6 linked regions of the Macaca mulatta genome follow. The protein of the gene in region 1 interacts with the protein of each later gene in a biochemical or structural test. Links are inferred from orthologs where the notes say so. Each region holds a gene or a part of one and is shown in the gene's direction. Other genes may lie near its edges.

Evidence for each region.
Region 2: the proteins of PDZK1 (region 1) and SDK2 interact in a test that uses a peptide from one of them, tested with the Homo sapiens proteins (2 studies listed by IntAct, with this or other methods). The link is inferred for Macaca mulatta from reciprocal best matches to the Homo sapiens genes PDZK1 and SDK2.
Region 3: the proteins of PDZK1 (region 1) and SLC22A12 form a complex in vitro, tested with the Homo sapiens proteins (2 studies listed by BioGRID and IntAct, with this or other methods). The link is inferred for Macaca mulatta from reciprocal best matches to the Homo sapiens genes PDZK1 and SLC22A12.
Region 4: the proteins of PDZK1 (region 1) and CRHR1 form a complex in vitro, tested with the Homo sapiens proteins (2 studies listed by BioGRID and IntAct, with this or other methods). The link is inferred for Macaca mulatta from reciprocal best matches to the Homo sapiens genes PDZK1 and CRHR1.
Region 5: the proteins of PDZK1 (region 1) and RPS6KA1 interact in a test that uses a peptide from one of them, tested with the Homo sapiens proteins (2 studies listed by BioGRID and IntAct). The link is inferred for Macaca mulatta from reciprocal best matches to the Homo sapiens genes PDZK1 and RPS6KA1.
Region 6: the proteins of PDZK1 (region 1) and CYSLTR2 interact in a test that uses a peptide from one of them, tested with the Homo sapiens proteins (2 studies listed by IntAct, with this or other methods). The link is inferred for Macaca mulatta from reciprocal best matches to the Homo sapiens genes PDZK1 and CYSLTR2.

The regions. Positions count from the first base shown.
Region 1 is NC_133406.1:119,618,036-119,621,535, forward strand, and holds part of PDZK1 (Na(+)/H(+) exchange regulatory cofactor NHE-RF3), read left to right. Parts: intron 1-420; coding exon 421-670; intron 671-3,500. UniProt on the Homo sapiens protein: A scaffold protein that connects plasma membrane proteins and regulatory components, regulating their surface expression in epithelial cells apical domains.
Region 2 is NC_133421.1:83,093,308-83,096,807, reverse strand, and holds part of SDK2 (protein sidekick-2), read left to right. Parts: intron 1-900; coding exon 901-1,095; intron 1,096-2,686; coding exon 2,687-2,803; intron 2,804-3,500.
Region 3 is NC_133419.1:9,804,191-9,808,387, reverse strand, and holds the start of SLC22A12 (solute carrier family 22 member 12), read left to right. Parts: upstream 1-1,397; coding exon 1,398-1,799; intron 1,800-1,874; exon of another isoform or gene 1,875-2,175; intron 2,176-2,620; coding exon 2,621-2,724; exon of another isoform or gene 2,725-2,838; intron 2,839-3,207; exon of another isoform or gene 3,208-3,242; coding exon 3,243-3,397; intron 3,398-3,472; coding exon 3,473-3,641; intron 3,642-4,197. UniProt on the Homo sapiens protein: Electroneutral antiporter that translocates urate across the apical membrane of proximal tubular cells in exchange for monovalent organic or inorganic anions. Involved in renal reabsorption of urate and helps maintaining blood levels of uric acid.
Region 4 is NC_133421.1:70,692,705-70,696,672, forward strand, and holds the start of CRHR1 (corticotropin-releasing factor receptor 1), read left to right. Parts: upstream 1-1,168; 5' UTR 1,169-1,385; coding exon 1,386-1,418; intron 1,419-3,968.
Region 5 is NC_133406.1:214,424,455-214,427,954, reverse strand, and holds part of RPS6KA1 (ribosomal protein S6 kinase alpha-1), read left to right. Parts: intron 1-196; coding exon 197-355; intron 356-3,500. UniProt on the Homo sapiens protein: Serine/threonine-protein kinase that acts downstream of ERK (MAPK1/ERK2 and MAPK3/ERK1) signaling and mediates mitogenic and stress-induced activation of the transcription factors CREB1, ETV1/ER81 and NR4A1/NUR77, regulates translation through RPS6 and EIF4B phosphorylation, and mediates cellular proliferation, survival, and differentiation by modulating mTOR signaling and repressing pro-apoptotic function of BAD and DAPK1.
Region 6 is NC_133422.1:27,853,390-27,857,650, forward strand, and holds the start of CYSLTR2 (cysteinyl leukotriene receptor 2), read left to right. Parts: upstream 1-1,461; 5' UTR 1,462-1,648; intron 1,649-4,261. UniProt on the Homo sapiens protein: Receptor for cysteinyl leukotrienes. The response is mediated via a G-protein that activates a phosphatidylinositol-calcium second messenger system.

The DNA.
Region 1 (3,500 bases):
TAACTTAGCTTGCTAACATGTTCATGCAGAGGATATATGGGAGAGTCTGGCCTTACCCTATTCTGCCTGACTCCAAAAGCATGCTCTTTTCCTTACACTGTGCTGTCGCCATGCACTCAGGAGGTACGGTTACAATCCAGGGCAGTGCTCCTCTCTAGAAAGGGACAGTCCTTGTAAGAAGCCTCTGGGCTGGGGTTGGACCATGCTCTATATTCCAGCAGTGCCAGAAGCTCAGCCTAATCTGCACCTGGATCTCGGGAAGGCAGGGATGGAGGTGGCTGAGGAACTACCTGCTTCTACTTGGGTGTCAGGGGTCAACTAGCAGGATCTCCAGGGCCAGATATGGAGCCACATGGTCAGCATTTCCCTCTGGCAGTTGATAGAGGGTTATTAAAGTTATTTTTTCTTCTTCCCTCCTAGGTTGTGGATCTGGTCAGAAAGAGTGGGAATTCAGTGACTTTACTAGTTCTGGATGGGGATTCCTATGAGAAAGCAATGAAAACACAGGTGGACTTGAAAGAGTTGGGTCAAAGTCAGAAGGAGCAAGGTTTGAGTGATAATACACTTTCCCCTGTGATGAATGGAGGCGTGCAAACTTGGACCCAGCCCCGGCTCTGCTACCTCGTGAAGCAGGGAGGCAGCTATGGCTTCTCTCTGAAAACTGTCCAAGGTGAGAATTTTTGGGGGGAGTGGGGGGAGGCAGGGGCAGGGCACAGACAACAGGCTTCCAGAACAAAGATGCTATTGGTTAATGACTTTTCTTCTTTGACTTTTCAGTTGCTTTAGATAGCTTGCAACAGCTTTCCTCCCTCCCTCTCTCTCTCCCTCCCTCCCTGCCCTTTCCCTTGCCTTGCACAGTTGTGCAATTGGGGAGGGACACTGGACAGCAGTGGGGGTGGGGGGCACTGGGCACTCCTGTCCCTGAGTGTTTGTCAGGCTGACACTTGAGGACTCTTTGAGGTCAGGGGGTCAGAGCATTGATGCTTCTAGCCCTCTTAGGGTGAAAATGAAGAGGAGAATGAGGAATAAGAGGCAAGAAAAATGAGAGTCTTCATAATAGCTACTTTTGAGTAAGATTGGTATCTTTTTTAAATCTGGGTGCCCAGATAGTCATTCATTTATTCAACAAAATCTTAAGCACCTACTGATGTGCCAGGCACTGTTACCTTTGCTGAGAATACTGCAAAAATCTCCACCCTCCTGTAACATTTTGATAGTATCCTCAGCTGTGGCTCAGCCCCACCTGTTCTGAGGTGCATCTTTGAGCTCTGGCTAAGAGGTACAGAGTGATTTGAGAAACCCTGACCATCAGGAAGCACTAGAAGTTCTGTTTCTAGAATTTCAGAGGTGCAGACTAACCTGTGTTCAGTTGACCATGGCTCTGGGGGTATTGGTTGGAACCAGAGGGGCTGTGTTAGCTGGCCGGTTCCTTCTTGAACGTTGCCTCTGCCCACATTCTTTCTGGGGCTGGAGAAGCACTGGTGGTAGGTCATGATTTGGCAAGTGGTACAGCAGCAGACCAGTTGGTAAATTCACAATAGTTTATAAGGCTTATTTAACCTGTACCAAGAGATGGAAACTCGCGATAAGGGGCATTTCTCAGGTTGGTCAGCTATTAAACACAGTGGTGTGGGTAGTCAAAGGAAGCTTGGCATGTCTTCGAAGCCTATTATCAGTAAAGTGGTAAAAAAAGAGAAAATCATAATTCAGATTCTACTCATCTGGCTCATGTGCTAACGCACATGGTGAACAGTTTAGGTTAGCTTTATGAGGAAAATGGTTTCTTCATGACAAATATATAACAAGGTGGCAGGAGAAATGCTGAATGTTTAAGGAAGCAGAATTTAAGTTACTGTCATTCCTTACAAGTGATTTATGTAGTCATTACCAAGCGATCCCTTGCCTAGGTTGAAATACAGGAGTTCCCCCTTATCCTGTTTTGCTTTCCATAGTTTCAGTTATCTTACCTGCAGGCAACTGTGGTCTGAAAATATTAAATGGAGAATTCCATACATAATAGTTGCATTGTGAACCATTATGAGTAGGGTAATGAAATCTTGTGCTGTCCTGCCCCATCTTGGAGATGAATCCTCTGTTTGTCTAGCACCTCCGTGTGGTATGTGCTTCCTTGCCTGTTAGTCTTACTACTCACTACTCAGTTATCAGGTCAACTGTTGCGGTATTAAAGTACTGTGTTCAAATAATCCTTATTTTGCTTAATAATGGCCCAGCACAGAAAGAAAAATATCACATGTTCTCATAAGTGGGAGCTAAAAAAGGTGAATCTCACGGAGGTAGAGAGTAGAATGAGAGATACCAGAGGCTGGGAAGAGTGTATGTGGGGTAGGGCAGGGATGAAGAAAGCTAGGTTAATGGGTACAAACACAAAGAGAGAATAAGTTCTAACGTTTGATAGCAAAGTGGGGTGACTATAGTTAACAACAATGTATTGCACATTTCAAAATAGTTGTAAGAAGATTGGAAATATTCTCAACACAAAGAAATGATAAATGTTCAAGGATGGATGTCCTAAATATCATACCATTATTTGTTCATTATATGCTCTTGGTATCAAAACATGACACACACCCTACAAATATGTACAAATGTTATGTATCAATAAAAAACAATAGCCCAGGCCGGGCGCGGTGGCTCACGCCTGTAATCCCAGCACTTTGGGAGGCCGAGGTGGGCGGATCACGAGATCAGGAGATGGAGACCATCCTGGCTAACACGGTGAAACCCTGTCTCTACTAAAAACACAAAAAATTAGCTGGGCACGGTGGCGGGCGCCTGTAGTCCCGGTTACTTGGAGGCTGAGGCAGGAGAATGGCGTGAACCCGGGAGGCGGAGCTTGCAGTGAGCCAAGATTGCGCCACTGCTCTCCAGCCTGGGTGACAAAGTGTGACTCTGTCTCCAAAAAAAAAAAAAAAAAAAGCCCAAAATGCAACAGTTGTGATGCTGGCAGTTCAGATATGACAAAGAGAAGCTGTAATGTGGCCAGGCGTAGTGGCTCATGCCTGTAATACTAGCACTTTGAGAGTCTGAGGCGGACAGATCACTTGAGGTTAGGAGTCAGGAGTTCGAGACCAACCTGGCCAACATAGCAAAACCCCATCTCTACTAAAAATACAAAAATTAGCCAGGTGCAGTGGCAGGCACCTGTAGTTCCAGCTACTTGAGAGACCGAGGCAGGACAATCGCTTAACCGGGGAAGCAGAGGTTGCAGTGAGCCAAGATTGTGCCCCTGGACTCCAGACTAGGTGACAGAACGAGACCCCATCTGTTTAAAAAAAAAAAAAAAAAAAAAAAGGCTGTAAAGTGCTCTTCTATTAAGTGAAAAGTTCTCGATTTAATAAGGAAAGAAAAAATATTGTATGCTGAGGTTGCTAAGATTAGCTCAGTTATTGCGAATCTCTTATTGTGCCTAATTTATAAGTTAAACTATCATAGGTACGTAAGCACAGGAAAAAAAACATACAGGTTTCGGAATACTATCT
Region 2 (3,500 bases), on another chromosome or scaffold:
CTCTGTCGCCCAGGCTGGAATGGAGTGGCACGATCTTGGCTCACTGCAACCTCTGCCTCCCAGGTACAAGGAGGCAGCCTCCTGAGTAGCTGGGATTACAGGCATGCACCAGCACACCAGGCTAATTTTTGTATTTTTAATAGAGACAGGGTTTCACCATGTTGGTCAGGTTGGTCTCGAACTCCTGAGCTCAGGTGATCCACCCGCCTCAGCCTCCCAAAGTGCTGGGATTACAGGCATGAGCCACGGCGCCCAGCCTGGCTGGGGAAACTTCTGAAAACGTGCCAGGCTGAGAGTGGGGAGAGGAGCCTCCTTTCACCTCCATGTGCAAAGCCGGTATGGGGGGCTTCCAGGTGCCCCCCAGGGAACACTGGACCCTCTACATGTTCTTCAACACAGGGCGCCATGCGTTTGGGAAAGTATCCCCACTTGGAGGTTCCCAGAGCACACGTGTGTCTGCTAAGTATTGCAATAAAAAATAAGAAATTGGGCCAGGTGCAGCAGCTCACACCTGTCATTCCAGCACTTTGGGAGGCTGAGGTGGGAGGAATGCTTGAAACCAAGAGTTCTAGACCAACCTAGGCAACCTAGCAAGACCCCATCTCTACACAGATAGAAATAAAAAATAAAATAAATAAATTAGTTTGTCCAATCCAGCGTTTCCATGCTAAACTGATCCCAGGATCTTTACTCTATCCCAAAGACTTTGAGAATTGTCACTCTAAGAGCATCTTCCTCCTCTCCCTAGACCCAAAGTGGCACCTCTGAGAAGGTTCTAGACACCAAGATTCACCAGGGACCCCCTCGCAGATTTCCAGGCCTGGCCTCCGCCCAAGCACCCCTCCTAGGCGGAGAGGAGGCAGGAGGCAGGTTGAGAGTGGGTCCACGTCTTGCCCACAGGTGTGCCGCCGCCCTCCATCACCTGGTACAAAGATGCGGCCGTGGTGGAGGTGGAGAAGCTGGCCCGCTTCCGGCAGCGCAGCGACGGGGGCCTGCAGATCAGCGGCCTGGTGCCCGATGACACCGGCATGTTCCAGTGCTTCGCCCGCAATGCAGCCGGCGAGGTGCAAACTTCCACCTACCTGGCTGTCACCAGTAAGTCGGGCCTTCCCTTGTCCTGCCCGTGAGCCCCTCTTCCCAGTACACGGCTTTCCTCCAAGGTCTTCTCAGGGGGCTCTTGAGCACAGCATGCTCCGTGATGCAGAGAGGATCCCCAAGGCTGCCTGCTGCCCAGCAGCCTGGGGCACAGCCAGTTACCCCTGCTGCCTCTGCAGCCCCGAGTCCAGAGCCCTGGAGGAAATCTCCAGTCCCTAGAAGTTCTCTCCAGTGTCCTGGGGCCCAGGTTGGGTTCACGGCTTTTTGAGAAAAGGAGCTATGAAACCAACCATGGGTACCAGCTCTGGCATTTCAACTGCCCCTGGGTTCCCAGGCAGAGCTGAAGTGACCCCATTCCAGAGGACCTGCTCATGTTTCCAAAGAAGAAAACTGGTGCTTTTCTCTTAGTTCTCCTGCTTGCAAATCCCTTTCTGCCCTTGGAGTCTCTGTCGGGTTGTCATAGTTGCCCTGGCCACTTCCCGGAGCTGTTTTAGCAGTCAAAGGTGATACTGTGGGCCGGGTGCAGTGGCTCACACCTGTAATCCCAGGACTTTGGGAGGTCAAGCGGGGTGGATCACTTGAGCCCAGGAGTTTGAGACCAGCCTGAGGAACACAGCGAAACCTCGTCTACCAAAAATGCAAAAAATTAGCCAGGCACGGTGGCATACACCTGTACTCTCAGCTACTTGGGATGCTGAAGTGGGAGGACCACTCAAGTCTAGGAGGCAGAGGTTGCAGTGAGCCAAGATGTCACCACTGCACTCCAGCCTGTGTGACAGAGTGAGACCCTGTCTCAAAAAAAAGCAGATGATACTGTGAGTGGCCCGTAAGCTCAAAGGTCTGTGTAAGTGCAAAGTACTGGTGGGCTCCTCAGGAAACACGGGGATGTTCAGGGGTCTCTTTGAGCTCCATAGTGTTCATCACCCAGACCCACAGAGGCCCCAGACAGGGCAGCTGTGGGGCAGAGAGCTTTTGGGTGTGCCCCAAAGGTGGCTACCAAGGGGCTGCTGTCTTGCTTCTGACTTCCAAGTACAGGTGAACTTAGCTCTGTTCCTGTGTCTGGCGAGCTCCTTCCTTGAGTGCTGGGATGAAGCAAGGGGAGCGCAGAACCAGGAGGCTGCTCCAACCCTAAACAGTGGCCACAGCCAAATGGAGGTCCTGGGGCAGGGCCACTTAGAAAGTGGCCAAGTCCCCCTCTTGACTGTGGCTGTTTTTCTTTTAAGAAGCCAGAGCCTTCCTTTCACTTTTGGCTTGTGAACCCCAATAACCTTGTCAGGGAGGATGTGAACTGCCTTCTGGGGTCTTCAGTTTCCCCCAAATGCAGGCCTGAGAATCCAAGCAGGGTAGGGACTGGTGTCACCTGGGTCCTTCCACAGGGCAGGTGACATAGGGGAGTCCTCATGGCCCCTCTGGGCTTCCTCCCAACACTGGGGCCCCATCAAGATGCCCACATCCTTCCTAGTGGAGGCCCCTGACCATGGGAGGCAGAGGATGAGGGCCTGGCCCTCGGTGGGCTTGGAGGCCCCTGGACCTCTGACTTGGGGGGCCAATCCCAGGGTGTGGCTAAAAGGCCCCAATTCTCTGTTTGCAGGCATCGCCCCTAACATCACCAGAGGCCCCCTGGACAGCACGGTGATTGACGGCATGTCAGTGGTGCTGGCATGTGAGACCTCGGGGGCTCCCCGACCAGCTATCACTTGGCAGAAAGGTAGATGGGACAGACCTTCAGAGTGTGGCTGTGTGACAGCCAGAACTAGGCTCTGGAGCCTGCCAGGATGGGTTCCCCATGTACACTTGTGAAGGTCGTACGCTGTACAGCCCAAGAGAGCATCTCTCGGCCAGGTGTGGTGGCTCATGCCTGTAAACCCAGCACCTTGGGAGGCCGAGGTGGGCAGCTCACCCTGAGGTCAGGAATTCAAGACCAGCCTGGCCCAAAGTGGTGAAACCTCATCTCTACTAAAAATACCAAAATTAGCCGGGCATGGTGGCAGGTGCCTGTAATCCCAGCTACTCAGCGGGGCTGAGATAGGAGAATCGCTTGAACCCAGGAGGCAGAGGTTGCAGTGAGCCGAGATTGTGCCATTGCACTCCAGCTTGGGAGAGAGAGCAAGACTCCATCTCAAAAAAAAAAAAAAAAAACAAAAAAGAGCATCCCTCACATCCCAGCCTTGCCAGGCTCAAGGTCCAGCTCTTCATCTTCCAAGACCTGCCAGCTTGGTGAGCTACTCACTCTGAGCCTCAGGTTCCCCATCTGTAAACTGGTGACAGTACTATATATATACCCCAGGGTAATGTGAAGACTAGACTATAGCGTACACGTGAGGGGCTCACATTGTGCCTGGGAGGCTGGGAAGCCCAGGAAACAACAGGTGCTTGATGATGAATATTATTCTGGTGGTGGCTGC
Region 3 (4,197 bases), on another chromosome or scaffold:
CAGGCATGAGCTACCACACCCAGCCACACACACACACTTTTTAACTGCTTTGTGTTTTCTGGCCCTTTCGCCTAGAGAATTAGCTATCAAGACCAAGGGGGTTCTCTTGGCTTCGGTCCAGACTTTCCTGAACCCCACACCCTGCACCGGCACACACTGCTGCCCGCCCCCCTGCCCTGGTAAGGCACCACTAGCTATTGTTGCCTGGGAGCCCCTTGACTTTTAAGCAGGATTTGACCCAAGGGTTTGCAGTGCGGGGTGGGTCCAGGGACAGGAGTTGAGGCAGAAAGACAAGGGCAAGGACAGCTGTGGAGTTGGGGAGGTGGGAGAGAGACATCCTTAGGAGGCAAAACTAGCCAGGCTTGGCCTGTTGTGAGTTTGGGAGGCAGAGAGCAGGAGGCATGAACCAAGACGCTGGGTTCCAGGCCAGGGACCGTGACATGGGAGGCCATAGCTGAGGTGGGGCTCTGCAGGAGGCGTAGATTTGGGGAGGGGACAGAGATCTCAGGGAGGCATTGGGCACACTGAACTTGGGGAGTCTGTGGGGTGTCTGTTGATGCTGGGAAGCTCCACCGAGGGCTCAGGACAGGGTAACAGCAAAGGGGGAACAGGACGCCAACCATAGCAGGTGAGTGGAGGCAGGAGCCACGGGTGGAGCCATGGGCAAGGCCAGGCCGCACAGCCTGGGAGGCGCAGGGGCTGGGCAGCTGCCAGTGACCCAAGCCCACACAGAGACCTGCACAGCTGCCCCAGCCCCAAGTTAGGGGGATCTGCGGGCCCGCCTTCTTTTGGCTCAGCCACTCTGGGAGGTAGGCACGCAGGGGCACCGAAGGGGGCAGGCAGCCCTGGCATCCCACAGCCGCCAGGAGGAGAACTTAGGCCTTCCCAAGACCTGGCAAAGAGCGGGCTGGCCCTGGCCCCCGAGCGAAGGAGGCTGCATCTCCCTCACATCTGCGCCTCCCTCAACGCGGGTTAAACTTTGACCAAGGAAATGATTGCTAAACTCGATTCCGTAAGTGTCACCAGTCACACTTTAATTCCAGTCTAGAATTAAAGTCTTCAGTCTCCACATTTCCTACTTTCCAAATTCAGCTTTTCCGGGAGGTCTGGAGCAGCTGCCTCTCTGGGGAGATGCTGGAGGTCTCGGAATCACCTCACGCAGCCTCAGGGTCCGGTTGGAGCCACTCCAAGTGACACCAGCAGGCAGATGACCAGACAGCCTGAGCCCCCAGCCCCGAGTCTGTGAAGCCAGCAGCCACTGACATGCTCCCAGCCGCCGGGCTGGAGAAGCCACTGTGGGCACCACCGTGGAGGAAACAGGCCCGTGGCCCTGGCCCCTTTGCCTTGGGCCAGCCCTTGTGAAGTGGGCCCTCTTCTGGGCCCCTTGAGTAGGTTCCATGGCATTTTCTGAACTCCTGGACCTCGTGGGTGGCCTGGGCAGGTTCCAGGTTCTCCAGACAGTGGCTCTGATGGTCTCCATCATGTGGCTGAGTACCCAGAGCATGCTGGAGAACTTCTCAGCCGCTGTGCCCAGCCACCGCTGCTGGGTACCCCTCCTGGACAACAGCACGGCTCAGGCCGGCGTCCCAGGGGGCCTGACTCCCAAGGCCCTCCTGGCTGTCTCCATCCCACCGGGCCCCAACCAGGGGCCCCACCAATGCCGCCGCTTCCGCCAGCCACAGTGGCAGATCTTGGACCCCAATGCCACGGCCACCAGCTGGAGCGAGGCCGACACAGAGCCGTGTGTGGACGGCTGGGTCTATGACCGCAGCATCTTCACCTCCACCATCGTGGCCAAGGTAGGGCCTCCCCCAGAGCCACTCGAGTCCTGCCACCTTGGAGGTCAGAGTCATGGATCACGGTGGCTCAGACTCAAAGGTCCAGTCCTGGGAGGGACCAACCTCCTCAGGCCCTGCTCACTCTCGAGCCTCTCAGCTCCTCGTCAGCCACACACAGGGGATTGGGCGGCAGGGATCAGTCTACAGATGGAGCCAGCCCAGGCTCTTGGAGGTGCAGGGGGCACCTGGGCGGGCGCCTCTAAATGCTGGCACCTGGACACTCACTGGCCTCACCCAGACTCGGCCCTGCTGACCCATCAGCTGTGACTCCAGGCAACGTAGCCACAGGGGGACTCAGTGACCATTCACTGGATTCCCCAAGACCAAAGCACACAGGGTAAGGGACCACCCCAGGCTGCCTCCCAGATGGGGCGCCAGGCAAGGCCAGGCAAGCAGACAGGGGCGGCTCGTCCCAACAAGCGGGAAGAACCTCTTTACAAAGAACAGGAGGGACGCAGCCTCCGGGAGAGCGGCCAGGGTGTCAGTTTGGGTGGCTGCTTCCAACTGGACAGACAGGAGACGGGGCAGATGTGGCTAGAAACCCATTGGGCAATAGGGAGCCAGGGAGGAGTTTAGGCAAAGGGTGGCAGGATATACTCCTCAGAAGACCAAACTGTGCCTGTGGGTGCCCTCACTGTTCCACAGGGTCTTGCTCTAAAGCCCTAGAGGTCACCAGGCCACCCACCCCACCCAGCTCCCTGGGGGCCCTCCCATACAGTTCCTCTGCCCCTCCGCACGGGCTCTCCCAGCCTCCTGAGCTCATTCTTCTCCTCTCCCCTTAGTGGAACCTGGTGTGTGACTCTCATGCCCTGAAGCCCATGGCCCAGTCCATCTACCTGGCTGGGATTCTGGTGGGAGCTGCTGCGTGCGGCCCTGCCTCAGACAGGTGAGTACCCCCAGTCCAGGAAGGTCCCAGTTCCCCTCACGACCCCGCTCTCCTAGGCCCCTGGCCGACTGGCCCCAAACCAGCCTCAACAAACCAAGTCTAGACGCCCTCCTTGTTGGAGGTGGGTCTCGGACCAGCCACCCTGCAGCTGTGCCATGTAGGGAGGTCTGGAACCTTCTCTGAGCCTCAAGTTCACTGACTTTATTCTGGGGGTTGTAGAGGATTGCTACTCCCCAGCAAACATTCACTGCTAAAACTGGCTTGGCCACACGCCTGCCTTCAGCTGTGACCTGAGTGCTCCTGGTGACCGGAGCCCATTCCCTTTGGCTCCAGCCTCGGGACTCTCTTTGTGCTCCAGAGTCTTCCATGGGTGGAGAATGCAGGTTTCACCCAGGTGCCGCTTCAGTGTCCGCCTCAGCTCAGCGGCCAAGCAGAGGGTGGGCTCTCTGTGGTCCAGATCCCCGTGGCCAGTGCCATGGCCAGTCACAGACCCTGCCTCTTCCTGGTTTGTGCCGCAGGTTCGGGCGCAGGCTGGTGCTAACCTGGAGCTACCTTCAGATGGCTGTAATGGGCACGGCAGCTGCCTTCGCCCCCACCTTCCCCGTGTACTGCCTGTTCCGCTTCCTGTTGGCCTTTGCCGTAGCAGGTGTCATGATGAACACGGGCACTCTCTGTAGGTCTCTGACCTGGTGCCGTGCAGGGGGGCTCCATGCAGGCTCCAGGGCTGAACCACTCGGTCTCCTTGCAGTGATGGAGTGGACGGCGGCGCAGGCCCGACCTTTGGTGATGACCCTGAACTCTCTGGGCTTCAGCTTCGGCCATGGTCTGACGGCCGCAGTGGCCTACGGTGTGCGGGACTGGACACTGCTGCAGCTGGTGGTCTCGGTCCCCTTCTTCCTCTGCTTTTTGTACTCATGGTGGGTGCTGTGCTCCACTTCCCTCCTCAGAGGAGATCCTGCCCACTCTCCACCCGGGGGAATGGGAGACTCTCCTATCCCTGGGGGCTGGGGAGTGCTAGAGGCCAGGGGTGCACGGGCTGGAGGAAAGCCAGGAGCCTGGCAGAGTGGACCACCCACAAGCCCAAGACACCCACTTCAACCAGGGCTTGGGTCCCCAGGGTGCCTCCCCTGCTCCTCCCAAGTGCTCCTTCTCCTACTCATTCTTCTCCTTTCCTCCCTCCTTCTCCTCATCTCTTGGCCTGTTCCCCTCTCCTGTCTCTGCCTGCCTTGGCATCTGTGCTGCCAGGCCCATCTTCTGAGCCCCTCTGTGCCAGGCATGGCAGCACTGAACTAGGCTAGGGTTGCGGGTGGAAAGATACAACACATGCCCGCACATACAGCACACAGCTGCAGTCTGCCTCATGGGTTGACAGAATCAATGCATGTGTCTGTCTGCTAGAGAACAGGGACCAGGACCCACTCATCAGAGGGGACTCCACAGTCCCCAAAGAGAGCCGGCATGTGTAGGAAGTTA
Region 4 (3,968 bases), on another chromosome or scaffold:
TTGCTGGCGGAGTGAATTTTTCTCTACCTCCCAGTGACTCCTCTTCTCCTATTCTCCCTTTTCAGCTCTGGTAGGAGAGAGGAAGAGCGAAGAGGAAGTCAAAAGTTCTGTTCATCAGGAAGGGCTGGGAGTTCCTTCCTGGGATGGGGAGCTCCGGAGCCAATCCAAAAGACGGCCCCGGGGTCTGGCGGGGAGGCCCACCGCTGCCCTGAGGGCTCGGCCGGGAGGGGGCGCTGTGTCCTCCCCACGCCCTGCCCGCGGGCTCCTAGCGGCGTTCGCCGTGCTGCAGCGCAATGCGCGCCCGGCTTTCCCCTGGGCAGCGTTCAGTGCCCGCTTGTCCTGCAGGGCACCGCCGTCTCCCTTTCATCTTGGGGCTCCCAGGTCCAAAGGGTTCCCAGATCCAGCCTCTTGCCTGAACCAAAGTGGCCAGGCACTCAGTTTGTAAGATGAACGAATGAAGGAAGAAACCAAGGAATGAATAAGGGCTCATCCTGCAGAGCGTTCGCGTCTCAGCGCGCACCAGGCACATCAGTGCCAAAGGTGCTGGGGGTCGGGCCCAGCTCCCGGCGCGGCTGGAATGGGGGCGGCGAGGAGCTCCTCCTAGCCAGCCGCAGGGCGGGAACTGCCCAAACGCAGGTCGCAGCTTCACCCGGTTCCGCGGCGGCTCCGCTCAGTAGGGACCGCCCTGTTCTCTAGCCCCCAGTAGCCTCGCCCTCATAAATTCACCTGAGCACCCCTGCCCAAGTCCCCCTAGAATCCTTGGACTTCCCAGGCCCCGACCTCGGCCGGGCGGAAGGCTGACCCTCTACCGCGGCCCCCTTCCCCCATCCCCGGCTTCTCCCCGGGCTGCGGCGGCCGCCACCGCTGCCAGCGCGCCCCGAGGACTGCCGCAAACGCGGGCGCAAGGAAAGGGGATCCTGGCGGCGGGGCGCAGGGAGCTGGCCGGGGGAAGGGGAGGGAACCGAGGAGGCGAGGAGCGGGGAGGGAGCCGAGGGGCGAGGCGCGGAGGAGGGACCGAAGGGGAGCGGAGGGGAGAGGGAGGGGGAGGAAGGGGAGGGGACGAGCTGGGCGAGGGGGCGGGGAGCCGAGGCAAGGAGCGGCGCGGACCGTGGGGGAGGCGGCGGGGGCGAGGCCGGCAAGAGGCGGCCGCGGGCCAGGCTGAGTCGGGAAACGGCGGCCAGACTTCCCCGGGAAGGGGCGAGCGAGAGCCGGGCCAGGCCGGGCCGCGGGGCCGGGGAGCGCCGAGCCGGGCACCTCCGCACCAGGCACCGACCGAGGAGCCCGGCCGCCCACCCCGTGCCGCCCGAGCCCACAGCCGCCCGCCGGCCCCTCTGGGATGTCCGCGGGACCCGGGCATTCAGGACGGTAGCCAAGCGAGCCCGAGGATGGCACGGCATCCACAGCTCCGGCTCGTTAAGGTAAGAGCCCGCCGGCCAGTCCTCGAGCGCTGGCGTCCCGGGCCCCTGGCGGACGCGGGACGGGGCTGGGCTGTGAGTGCGATGGGGGCGGGGGCGCTGGGAGAGCCGTGCTCAGGTCCCGGAAGGCTGGGCTCCGGGGCAGCCTAACTCTCGGGACCTTTGGAGCCAGGGTTGGGTAGGCAGGGGGAGACTCAGGTGAGACAAGAAATCGTGGCGAAGCCGCCGGAATGTTGGCGGAGGAGGGGGTCCGCCCACCCGGGTAGCCGGCTCCGCGCCAAGAATCGCTCCAGGCTTTGGGGCAGACGCCTAGGGGAGGGGAGGTTCCACCTCCCACACCCCCCTGCAGACCCCGGCCCTGGGACGGGAGACTCTGAAGCGGGGCTCCCCGCCTCACCCCAGAGCCCCCGCACAGCTCCCCGACTCCGCACGCCCCCGCCCTAGTCCTGGGAGCGCGTCCTGCCCTTTCCCCTCCGCGGCAAGCTGCGAGCCCGGGGAGATGAATGCCGCCCGCGCCTGCGAGCCCTTGATCAATATCGCAGTCTCAGGGGAGGAGACGGTGCCTCCGGCGGCGGTTCCTGTTCCCCCACCGCGGCCGGGAGCGCGACGCTCGCTCTGCAAGCCTGGGCACCCGCGATCTCCGCGCTGCGCGGCCGACCCTGCGACGCGGATCGGGCGCTGGAGTTTAGGAAAGTCGCCAGACCGCACGTCCAGCGTCTGCCCGCTGAAGTTCGTGGGCGGCGGGGGCGGCCCGCGGGTTGTGTGAGCCCGGGAAGGGCTGTGAGGCCGGCAGTCCGGCCCGCCGCCCGTGCCAGGCGTCACTTGCAGCCCCGAGCGCTTTCCAAAGCGTTTTGGTCTTGTAGAGTACAGGCGCGCCCGCTGCAGTCGGCCGGAGAGGCGGGTGGGCCTCTGCGCGGCTGCCGGGAAACCCCGCGCCGCGCCAGTCTGGGCATCGCCTCACCCGGGGCTCGGGACTCCGCAGGGTCCGCTCCAGCCAAACATAGACACCAGCTTGACCCGGCTCAGGGCATTCAGAGCGATTACATTCGAGAGACTTCGGTGGATTTGGGGGAGGGGTGCGGATTGGCGGAATTTCATTTTTCCATCAGTTATTAAACCAACTGGTTTGAGTTAAGCCACCAAGATTTTTAAATGCAGCAGCTGCTGCTTCCTTAGTTGAGACGTTACAAGTTACTTTTCTCTAATCCTGCCCCTCCCCAAATATTTATAAATTGATTCTTAAAATGACCGAGGTTGGTCTCATTGAACCCACATCCCCTCCCTCATCCGGTATCTGAGGGCTAGGGATGAACTCACAGATTATTTTCTGGGCGTTTGAGGTGACAGACAGGTGAGGAAGGTAGAAGAAAAACATCCAGAGAGGTCTAATAGATGGCACTGAATGGTAATATTTTCCAAAAGTCTCGTGTGTACCGAAGCCAGGTCTAAATGCACAAACCAGTTACACCAAATAGTCAGTCTTTTAAATGGATTCAAAGGATTGAACTGTGGGTGTTTTCTTTCTTTCTTTCTTTCTTTTTTTTTTTTCCAGGTTTACACGGAAATAGATCAATGTTCTTTTTCTGGCCTTTCTTAGAATTGTGTGCAAATCTCTGTTTAGAATGATGATGTTTTCCTTTTTAAAAAGTATTTTTATTTCCGTTGCTCCTACTAGATGGTAGGTATTTGCCCTTTATGCCTGGCCTAATAAACTCAGTAGGCATTCAATAAACACCAGATGAATGTGGGGCAGTGAGTGAATGGCCAGCAAATACTGGTTTCAAATGTTGGTTACAATTAAATAGTTGCTTTTCTTCTTTTCTTTATGTAGCATGTACAATTCCCTGAGCATTATTCTAATGTTGCTTATTTGCTTTGCAAATATTAAGTCATTTAGTCCTCCTAACAGCCCTAGGAAGTAGGAATTATTCGTGAGACACGGAGAGGCTAAGTAACTGGTTCAAGGTCACACAACCAGTGAGTAGTCAGAATTCAAACCCAGACACTCTGATAAAAGGCTTTGTTTTGTTTGCTTTTACCAGAAAATATCCTTTTTTTTTTCCTTTTTTTTCTTTTTTCTTTTTTTTGAGACAGGGTCGAACTCTGTTGGTCAGGTTGGAGCGCAATGGTGTGATCATGGCTCACTGAAGCCTCAACTTCCCTAGGCTCTGGTGATCCTCCCACCCCAGCCTCCAGAATAGCTGGGACCACAGGCATGCACCACCACACCCAGCTAATCTTTGTATTTTTTGTAGAGATGGGGTTTCCCCATATTGCCCTGGCTGGTCTCGAACTCCTGGGCTCAAACGATCAGCCAGCCTCAGCCTCCCAAAGTGCTAGGATTACAGGCATGAGCCACTGTGCCTGGCCATTACCAGAAAATATTCTAAGCCACTTAAGTTTCACTGTAGAGCTCAGCCAGATGAGCGCTCAGGTAGTTTTGTCAGCATGAGAGTATGAATCTAGGGGATTTAGGGTTAATCCCAAATCCAGCTCTGTCCCCAACAAGTCAGCCGGGGTTGGGAAAGGGTTCCCTCTGGGGCCTGTATTGTG
Region 5 (3,500 bases), about 95 Mb from region 1:
GGCATTTTCTGAGGACGTTCTTGCCTATCAGGGGACCAGTGTCAGCATCCTCCTTTTGGGGAAGGCGGGGCCACTGAAGAGCAAGCAGAATACCTGCCTAAGGCTCATGTCATTCTTCCCTGCTCTGGGGCGCTGCTGACCAGGGGGCCCAGGCCTGACACTGGGGAGAAGAGCCTGATGGTGAGGTCTTCGGCAGGTGTACGATGATGGCAAACACGTGTACCTGGTGACAGAGCTGATGCGGGGTGGCGAGCTGCTGGACAAGATCCTGCGGCAGAAGTTCTTCTCGGAGCGGGAGGCCAGCTTCGTCCTGCACACCATCGGCAAAACTGTGGAGTATCTGCACTCACAGGGGGTGAGTCTGGATTCAGGGAGGCGGTAGGGGGATGCCAAGGGTCATACCATCAGCAGAGCACATGAACCACATGCTGGCCCAGGAATGGCAACCTCCAGCTAGCCAAATTGAGGGAAGACTAGGCTGGGTCGGGGGATGCGTGTAAAGGAGGGAGGGAGAGATGTGGTCAATCGTGAAAGGGAAGGTATGGAAAGTTATTCAGTATCTACTGTGTGCCAGTCACCATGGTAAGGTTTAGCATAAGATGAAGTTTCCAGGCCAGGCGCAGTGGCTCATGCCTGTAATCCCAGCACCTTGGGAGGCCAACGCAGGTGGATCACTTGAGGTCAGGAGTTTGACACCAGCCTGGCCAACATGGTGAAATCCGGTCTCTACTAAAATACAAAAAAATTAGCCGGGTTTGGTGGCGGGCGCCTGTAATCTCAGCTACTTGGGAGGCTGAGGCAGGAGAATGACTTGAACCTGGGAGGTGGAGGTTGCAGTGAGCCAAGATCACACCATCGCACTCCAGCCTGGGCAATAGAGCGAAACTCCATCTAATAAATAAATAAATACATAAATAAGATAAAGTTTCCTTACATTATCTCAATTGGTTTTCACAACACTCTGAGATAGATGCTGTTACTGGTCCCACTTCACAGGTAAGAAGACCAGAGCTCAGAGATGAAAGTTCATTTGCTCAAGATTACATAGCCAGGGAAGAATGGAAGAATTTCAGACTGAAGAATTTAGGTGGGGAGTGGGTTTTGAGTTAGGAAGCAGCAGGGTCACCATGGGGGAGGTGCAAGGCTTCAGGGAGGTGAATTCGACTATGGGTTCAGTTGCTAAGGCAGAGGAAATGGATGCAGGAGGAAATTCTGCTGGAAACGTAGCAGGGAACTACAGAAGAGGTGTAGGTCCAAATGGCAGAGTTTGGCCTTTATTACCGCACAAGGCAGGTGAGCACTAGATGATGGTGAGGTAGGAAAGTTCATTACAGTGGATTAAAGCCCAAAACAGTAGCATTACTTTCTCTCTGCATGAGGTGATGTTTTAGGGTACATCTGATCAGACAACATGGGGGTTAAGAATGTAGGCTCTGGGCCAGGCGCGGTGGCTCACGCCTGTAATCTCAGCACTTTGGGAGGCCGAGGCGGGCGGATCACGAGGTCAGGAGATCAAGACCATCCTGGCTAACACGGTGAAACCCCGTCTCTACTAAAAATACAAAAAATTAGCCGGGCGTGGTGGCGGGCGCCTGTGGTCCCAGCTACTCGGGAGACTGAGGCAGGAGAATGGTGTGAACCCAGGAGGCGGAGCTTGCAGTGAGCCAAGATCGCGCCACTGCACTCCAGCCTGGGCGATAGAGCGATCTCTCGAGGAAAAAAAAAAAAAAAAGAATGCAGGCTCTGAATCCACCTGACTGAGTCCAGGTCTTGGTGTATGAGGTTATTAACTTGTTTTCACATAGTACCCAGTCCATAGACACATTTCCCCTATTGTCCTGTTTTTTTTTTGTTTTTGTTTTTGTTTTTAATTGTTGGAGATGAAGTCTCGCTCTTGTCACCCAGGCTGAAATGCAATGGCATGATCTTGGTTCACTGCAATATCTGCCTCCCAGGTTCAAGTGACTCTCCTGCCTCAGCCTCCCGAGTAGTTAGGATTACAGATGCCTGTCAGAATGCCTGGCTAATTTTTTGTATTTTTAGTAGAAACGGGGTTTCACCATGTTGGCCAGGCTGGTCTCAAACTCCTGACCTCAGGTGGTCCGCCCACCTCGGCCTCCCAAAGTGCTGGGATTACAGGTGTGAGCCACCGCGCCTGGCTCCCTATTGTCCTTTCAAAAATGTCTTTTTTGACTGGTTTATTGAAATTAGAATACCTGGCCGGGTGCGGTGGCTCAAGCCTGTAATCCCAGCACTTTGGGAGGCCGAGACGGGCGGATCACGAGGTCAGGAGATCGAGACCATCCTGGCTAACACGGTGAAACCCCGTCTCTACTAAAAAATACAAAAAACTAGCCGGGCGAGGTGGCGGGCGCCTGTAGTCCCAGCTACTCGGGAGGCTGAGGCAGGAGAATGGCGTGAACCCGGGAGGCGGAGCTTGCAGTGAGCTGAGATCCGGCCACTGCACTCCAGCCTGGGCGGCAGAGCGAGACTCCGTCTCAAAAAAAAAAAAAAAAAAGAAATTAGAATACCTGTAAGTTCCACACATTTCATTCAGTTGGTAAATCTCTCCCCTTTTTTTTTGAGACAGGGTCTTACTCTGTTGCCTAGGCTGGAATGCAGTGACACAATCACAGTTCACTGCAGCCTTGACCTCCTTGGGCTCAAGCGATCCTCCCACTTCAGCCTCCCAAATAGCGGGGACCACAGGCACGCACCACCACACCTGGCTAACTTTGTATTTTTTGTAGAGATGGGGTTTTGCTTTTTTTTTTTTTTTTTTTTGAGACGGAGTCTCGCTGTGTCTCCCAGGCTGGAGTGCAGTGGCGCGATCTCGGCTCACTGCAAGCTCCGCCTCCCGGGTTCACGCCATTCTCCCGCCTCAGCCTCCGAGTAGCTGGGACTACAGGCGCCCGCCACCACGCCCGGCTAATTTTTTGTATTTTTAGTAGAGACGGGGTTTCACCGTGTTAGCCAGGATGGTCTTGATCTCCTGACCTCGTGATCCGCCCGTCTCGGCCTCCCAAAGTGCTGGGATTACAGGCTTGAGCCACCGCGCCCGGCGGGGTTTTGCTTTGTTGCCCAGGCTGGTCTTGAACTCCTGAGCTCAAGTGATTTGCCCACCTTGGCCTCTCAAAGTGCTGGGATTACAGGCGTAAGCCACCTTACCCAGCCTCTTTTCTTTTTTTCAAACTGGAGGAAAATTTGCATACAGTAGATTTCAAGGGTACATTTTGATGAATTTTGTTAAATGTGTACACCCATGTCGCCTCCACAGTGAGACCTCCCTTTTTTATGCCACCGACATGTTGAATATGAGTTCTGTGGAATGGCTCGTGTTCTGAATTTGTCTGTCGGCTGCCTTCTGGATCATTTACATTATTTCTCCATTGTTTATATTTCCTGTAAACTGCAAGTTGCTCTAACATCATTATTAGCTTCGGCTTTTTTGGGGGGATGGGAATGAGGTCCAGATGGTAAGGTTGGGCCGAGCATGGTGG
Region 6 (4,261 bases), on another chromosome or scaffold:
CATGCAGTATTTATCTTACTATGCCTGGCTTACTTCACTTAACATAATGTCTTCCAAGCTCATCCATGTTGCCACAAATGACAAAATTTTGTTCTTTTTAAATCAATAAATAGTATTCAATTGTGAATATATACATTTTTCATCCATCTTTCTGTTGATGAACATTTAGGGTGATCCATATTTTGGCTATTGTGAATAGTGCTACAGTAAACATGAGAGTGCAGAGATCTCAACAAGATTCAGTAACCCTACTACTGAGTATATATCCAAAGTATTTTATTCGTTTTGATGCTATTCTAAATGGAATCGTTTCCTTAGTTTCCATTTTTGGTTGTTTATTGTTAGTATATATAAATGCAACTGATTTTTGTGTATTGATTTCCTATCCTGCAACTTTGCTGAATTTGCTTATTAGTTCTATTGGGGTTTTGTGTGTGTGTGTGTGTGTGTGTGTATGGAATCTTCAGGTTTTCCTACGTATAAAATTTTATCATTTGCAGACAGATATAATTTTACTTATTTATTTCCAATTTGGATCCCTTTTATGTATTTTTCTTGCTTAATGTTACTGCAGCTTTCTATCCAGGAAATGAGGATTTGAACAGTGATGGGGAGGTCAGCAATGGTTGGATTTGGGACATATTTTATGGGCAGAACAAATGGAACTTGTTGGCTCAGAAGTGGGTGGTGGAAGAAAGAGAGAAGTTAAAAGTGACTTCTAGGTTTATGGATGGACTAAATTATTGTGGTGCCACTGTTTAGACAGGGTAGATGGGGGGATGCAGGACTAAGAGGGGAAGAGAAAAGGTCCATCTGGGTCACATTAAATTTGGCCATGATTGTGCATCAGATAGATAAGAGCAAGAGAAGGAGGGAAGAAGTCAGAACACAGACCTCTGGGGAAAGCTCACATGTAGAAAAGGGATGGAAGAAGAGGCATCAGAAAGAGAGGCAAAGAAGAGCAATCTGAGGGGGAGAAAAAGAACCAGGAAAGTCAGAGAAACAAGGAAGAAGTTTCAGGAAAGTGGTAGTGGTCAACTATGCAAACAAGACGGGAAGGAAGGTGAGGACTGAGAAAGGATTTTTTATGTGAGCAACAAGGTTATTGGTAACCTCTGACAGAACATTTTCAGCAGAGTGGATAAGGTCTCTGCTGGAGTGCAAGTGAATTGAAAATATAAGTGAGTGAGGGAAGTGCTTTAAACAAATCTAAAGTGCTGTGTGTGTAAGGCAGTGTTGCTATTTCTGTTGCCATGGAAACAGAAACCTTTCAGGAGAACTAAAAGCCACTTAAAATCCCTGACTCTAACCCATTATATCCGCTTGTTCTCTTGAGAAAGATAATGACAAAAACCAGTCATTAGAGGGGCAGGGCAATTTTAGGTTTCTTCTTTTTAGATGTAGCCCTTAACTGGAAATCTTCCCCCTTCTTGAGAAGAGATCTTGCACTGACATCTATACTGGCTTCTAAAAAGCACAGATGACCTGCTACACTTCCTGACTTTCTTGCTATTGGTTGGCACTGTTCATAAATATAATTTGCTGTTTCCCTTTTCTTTTAAATGAGCAATCCGAATTACTTGGAGGAGAAAGGCAGAAGAGATAGAGGCAGCAGAAGCCAGGGCAGCTGAAAGACAGAGAACTTCAGGTGGGCATTTTAATCTTTGTTTTGTTAATTCAGTGTTGAGAATCATGACTTGAAGATCACGTAATAGAGGAGTAATTTTTGAAAAGTAAATTTGTTTTGTTCTACTATAAATATTATTTTCCTATCATGTACATGGTAGTTTAAAAAATACTGTGAAAGTACAAAAATGTTAAAGGAAGCCAAATTCTCCACCAAGATAGCCTCTATTGATATTTTGGGGGTTTTCCGTGTGTGTGTGTGTGTATGTGTGTGTGTGTGTGCGTGTTTGTGAATGTGTATATGCACATATAACTTTAGTTTTCATAGTTGCGTCCCTGCACTATGGACACGTTTATATTCATTTCCTGCATTTCAGTCTATGGTTTTTCCATGTTGCTGTGAATTCTTTGTAATCATAAATTAAAGCTGCTGCATAATATTGCATTGAGGAACTTTACTTCCTCCATTTTTAGCTGTATAGCAGTTATCCTATTTTTCATAGTTTGGGTCCTTTTATTATATAAGATATATTTTTTTCATTCAGGGTCTTGTTTTAGAGGTAGAAGAAGTTGAATCTGAGCACATATGTTTCAATGGTTTTGCTTAGAGGCACAATGAGAGTGAAAGAGTATGTGAGATCATGAGCATATAATCTGTTCCTTACCCCACTGGGACCCTAACCAGTGTTTCTCAACTCTGGCTGCACATCAAGCCAGAATCACCTGACTCTGAGGAGATTAGAAAATTACCCCTAGAATAATTGAAGCTTAACTTTTAGAGATCAGCAAGTCATCTGCAGTATTTTGTCTTGTTTTCCAGAAACTTCTCAGGTGATTCTAATAGGTGGTCGGCATAAAAACAGATGACCTACGTCATTCAAAATATTTTTCTGTCTCTGACATATACCTGAGAGTAATATGTATTAGGAGAAAGGAAGGTATAATTTCAGGCAATCCAATCAAATCTCCCTTTCAACACTACATACATAATGCAAATTATAGAATAATTTGGGGGGAAACATAAGACTTCTAGAAATTTCTATCTACCTCAGCCACATAAACTCTTGAGATGAGAATCTACTTGTGTTTCGATTTACTAATGTTTTAAAGAGGTGGATTTGTTTCCAGTGCTTCGATGGTTAAAAGTTAGAGAAGTTGAGGCTGTCGTATGTTCTGAATGTACCTGAATCACGCCCATATCTGCTAGAATCTGCCAAGGCAGCCAGGCTTCCTTTCTTTTGCAATCTTCAAGATTAAACACAAGGTGGGCATTTAATAGCTGGCCAGTCACTAACACACTGTGGGCACAGTGAAGATCGATGGCATTGGATTTGGAGGCAGAAGGTGGCTCACTCTGGCTTTCAGGAGCCCCATAGACATGGCACTTACCTTCTCTGGACCTCATGTCCTCAGGAGGAAAGTGGACAGAGTTTATGCCAGGGCTGCGTTCTGGTTTCTCCCATTGGGGACTGAAAACAGAGCCAGAGCCCCTAAACCACGTTGAAGCATTTGCTGTTGCACTCCTAGCCTGCTGCAGGCCAGGAATCATGCCAACGAGACCAACAGCATGTTAATCAAATTTCTTCTTGTTTTGACTCAGTGGAGAACACCTGTTTAGTACCTTCATTAATGAATGTAAACATTCACATAGTACTTTACAAAACACGTTTACATGCATCAGTTCATTTGATCCACATACTAGCCTTAAGAACTGGAGTAATTCTTATTTTAAAGATGGTAAAGATGAGACCGAGAGAACATAGGATCTTTTCCAGGTGGAACCAGAACTGGTCCAATCTGGTTTAGCCCAGGGCACATGGTCCATTCTTACAACTTAAATAATAGCTATTGTGGGAAATTGGTTAAACATATTTCATAATGTTTATATAATTGGTTATTCTGTAGCCAGTTAGATGATGACATTGATGTTGTTATTTGGCAAAGAAAGGTGATCATGGCATGGAAATAAGAAAAAAGCAAGATATAAAACAGTATTATAAATGCGCTTATTTTTGTTTAAAAATATTTGTATATATTTCAAGAAAGATGAAAAAAAGCATATATGTGAAATTTTAGATATGTCTGGTTGGTGGTAAAGTTCATAATTTAAGTTTATTTCAGCTTGTATTACATTGTAATTTTTCTTTACCATGAACATGTACTACTTGTGTAATAAAAATAAAGGAAAGTAAATAGAATTGTTCATGTCTTTCTGGTTGGCTCTTCTCCGGATGAAATGGCCCCATCTTTTACTTGGCCGTAAAGAAGGCTGCTATTTAATTCTCTGAGTTTTGTACATTATTGTCACAAATTTTATTGTGATTGTCAGCTAGTACTGACTGAATTCTTCGTGTGTGTTGGGCACCAAGTTAATCACTTCACATCCATTTTTTTTTCATCAGTACTCACTCCAGTGCTCCTTTGGCAGAGGAGAGTTTGAAGCTCAGAGGGCTGCAGTAATAAAAGAGACTAAAAGGCAGAGTTGAAACTTAAACCCAGGACCCTTTTAACTCAAAAGCACATGGTTTCATTCATTATATCACTCTGCCTCCCATCCACCTGGGATCACATGAGCAGCCTCCGTTTTGGAGGAAAGATGCTATATTTTTTCAGTGTACTACTCATTGCTGTGTAC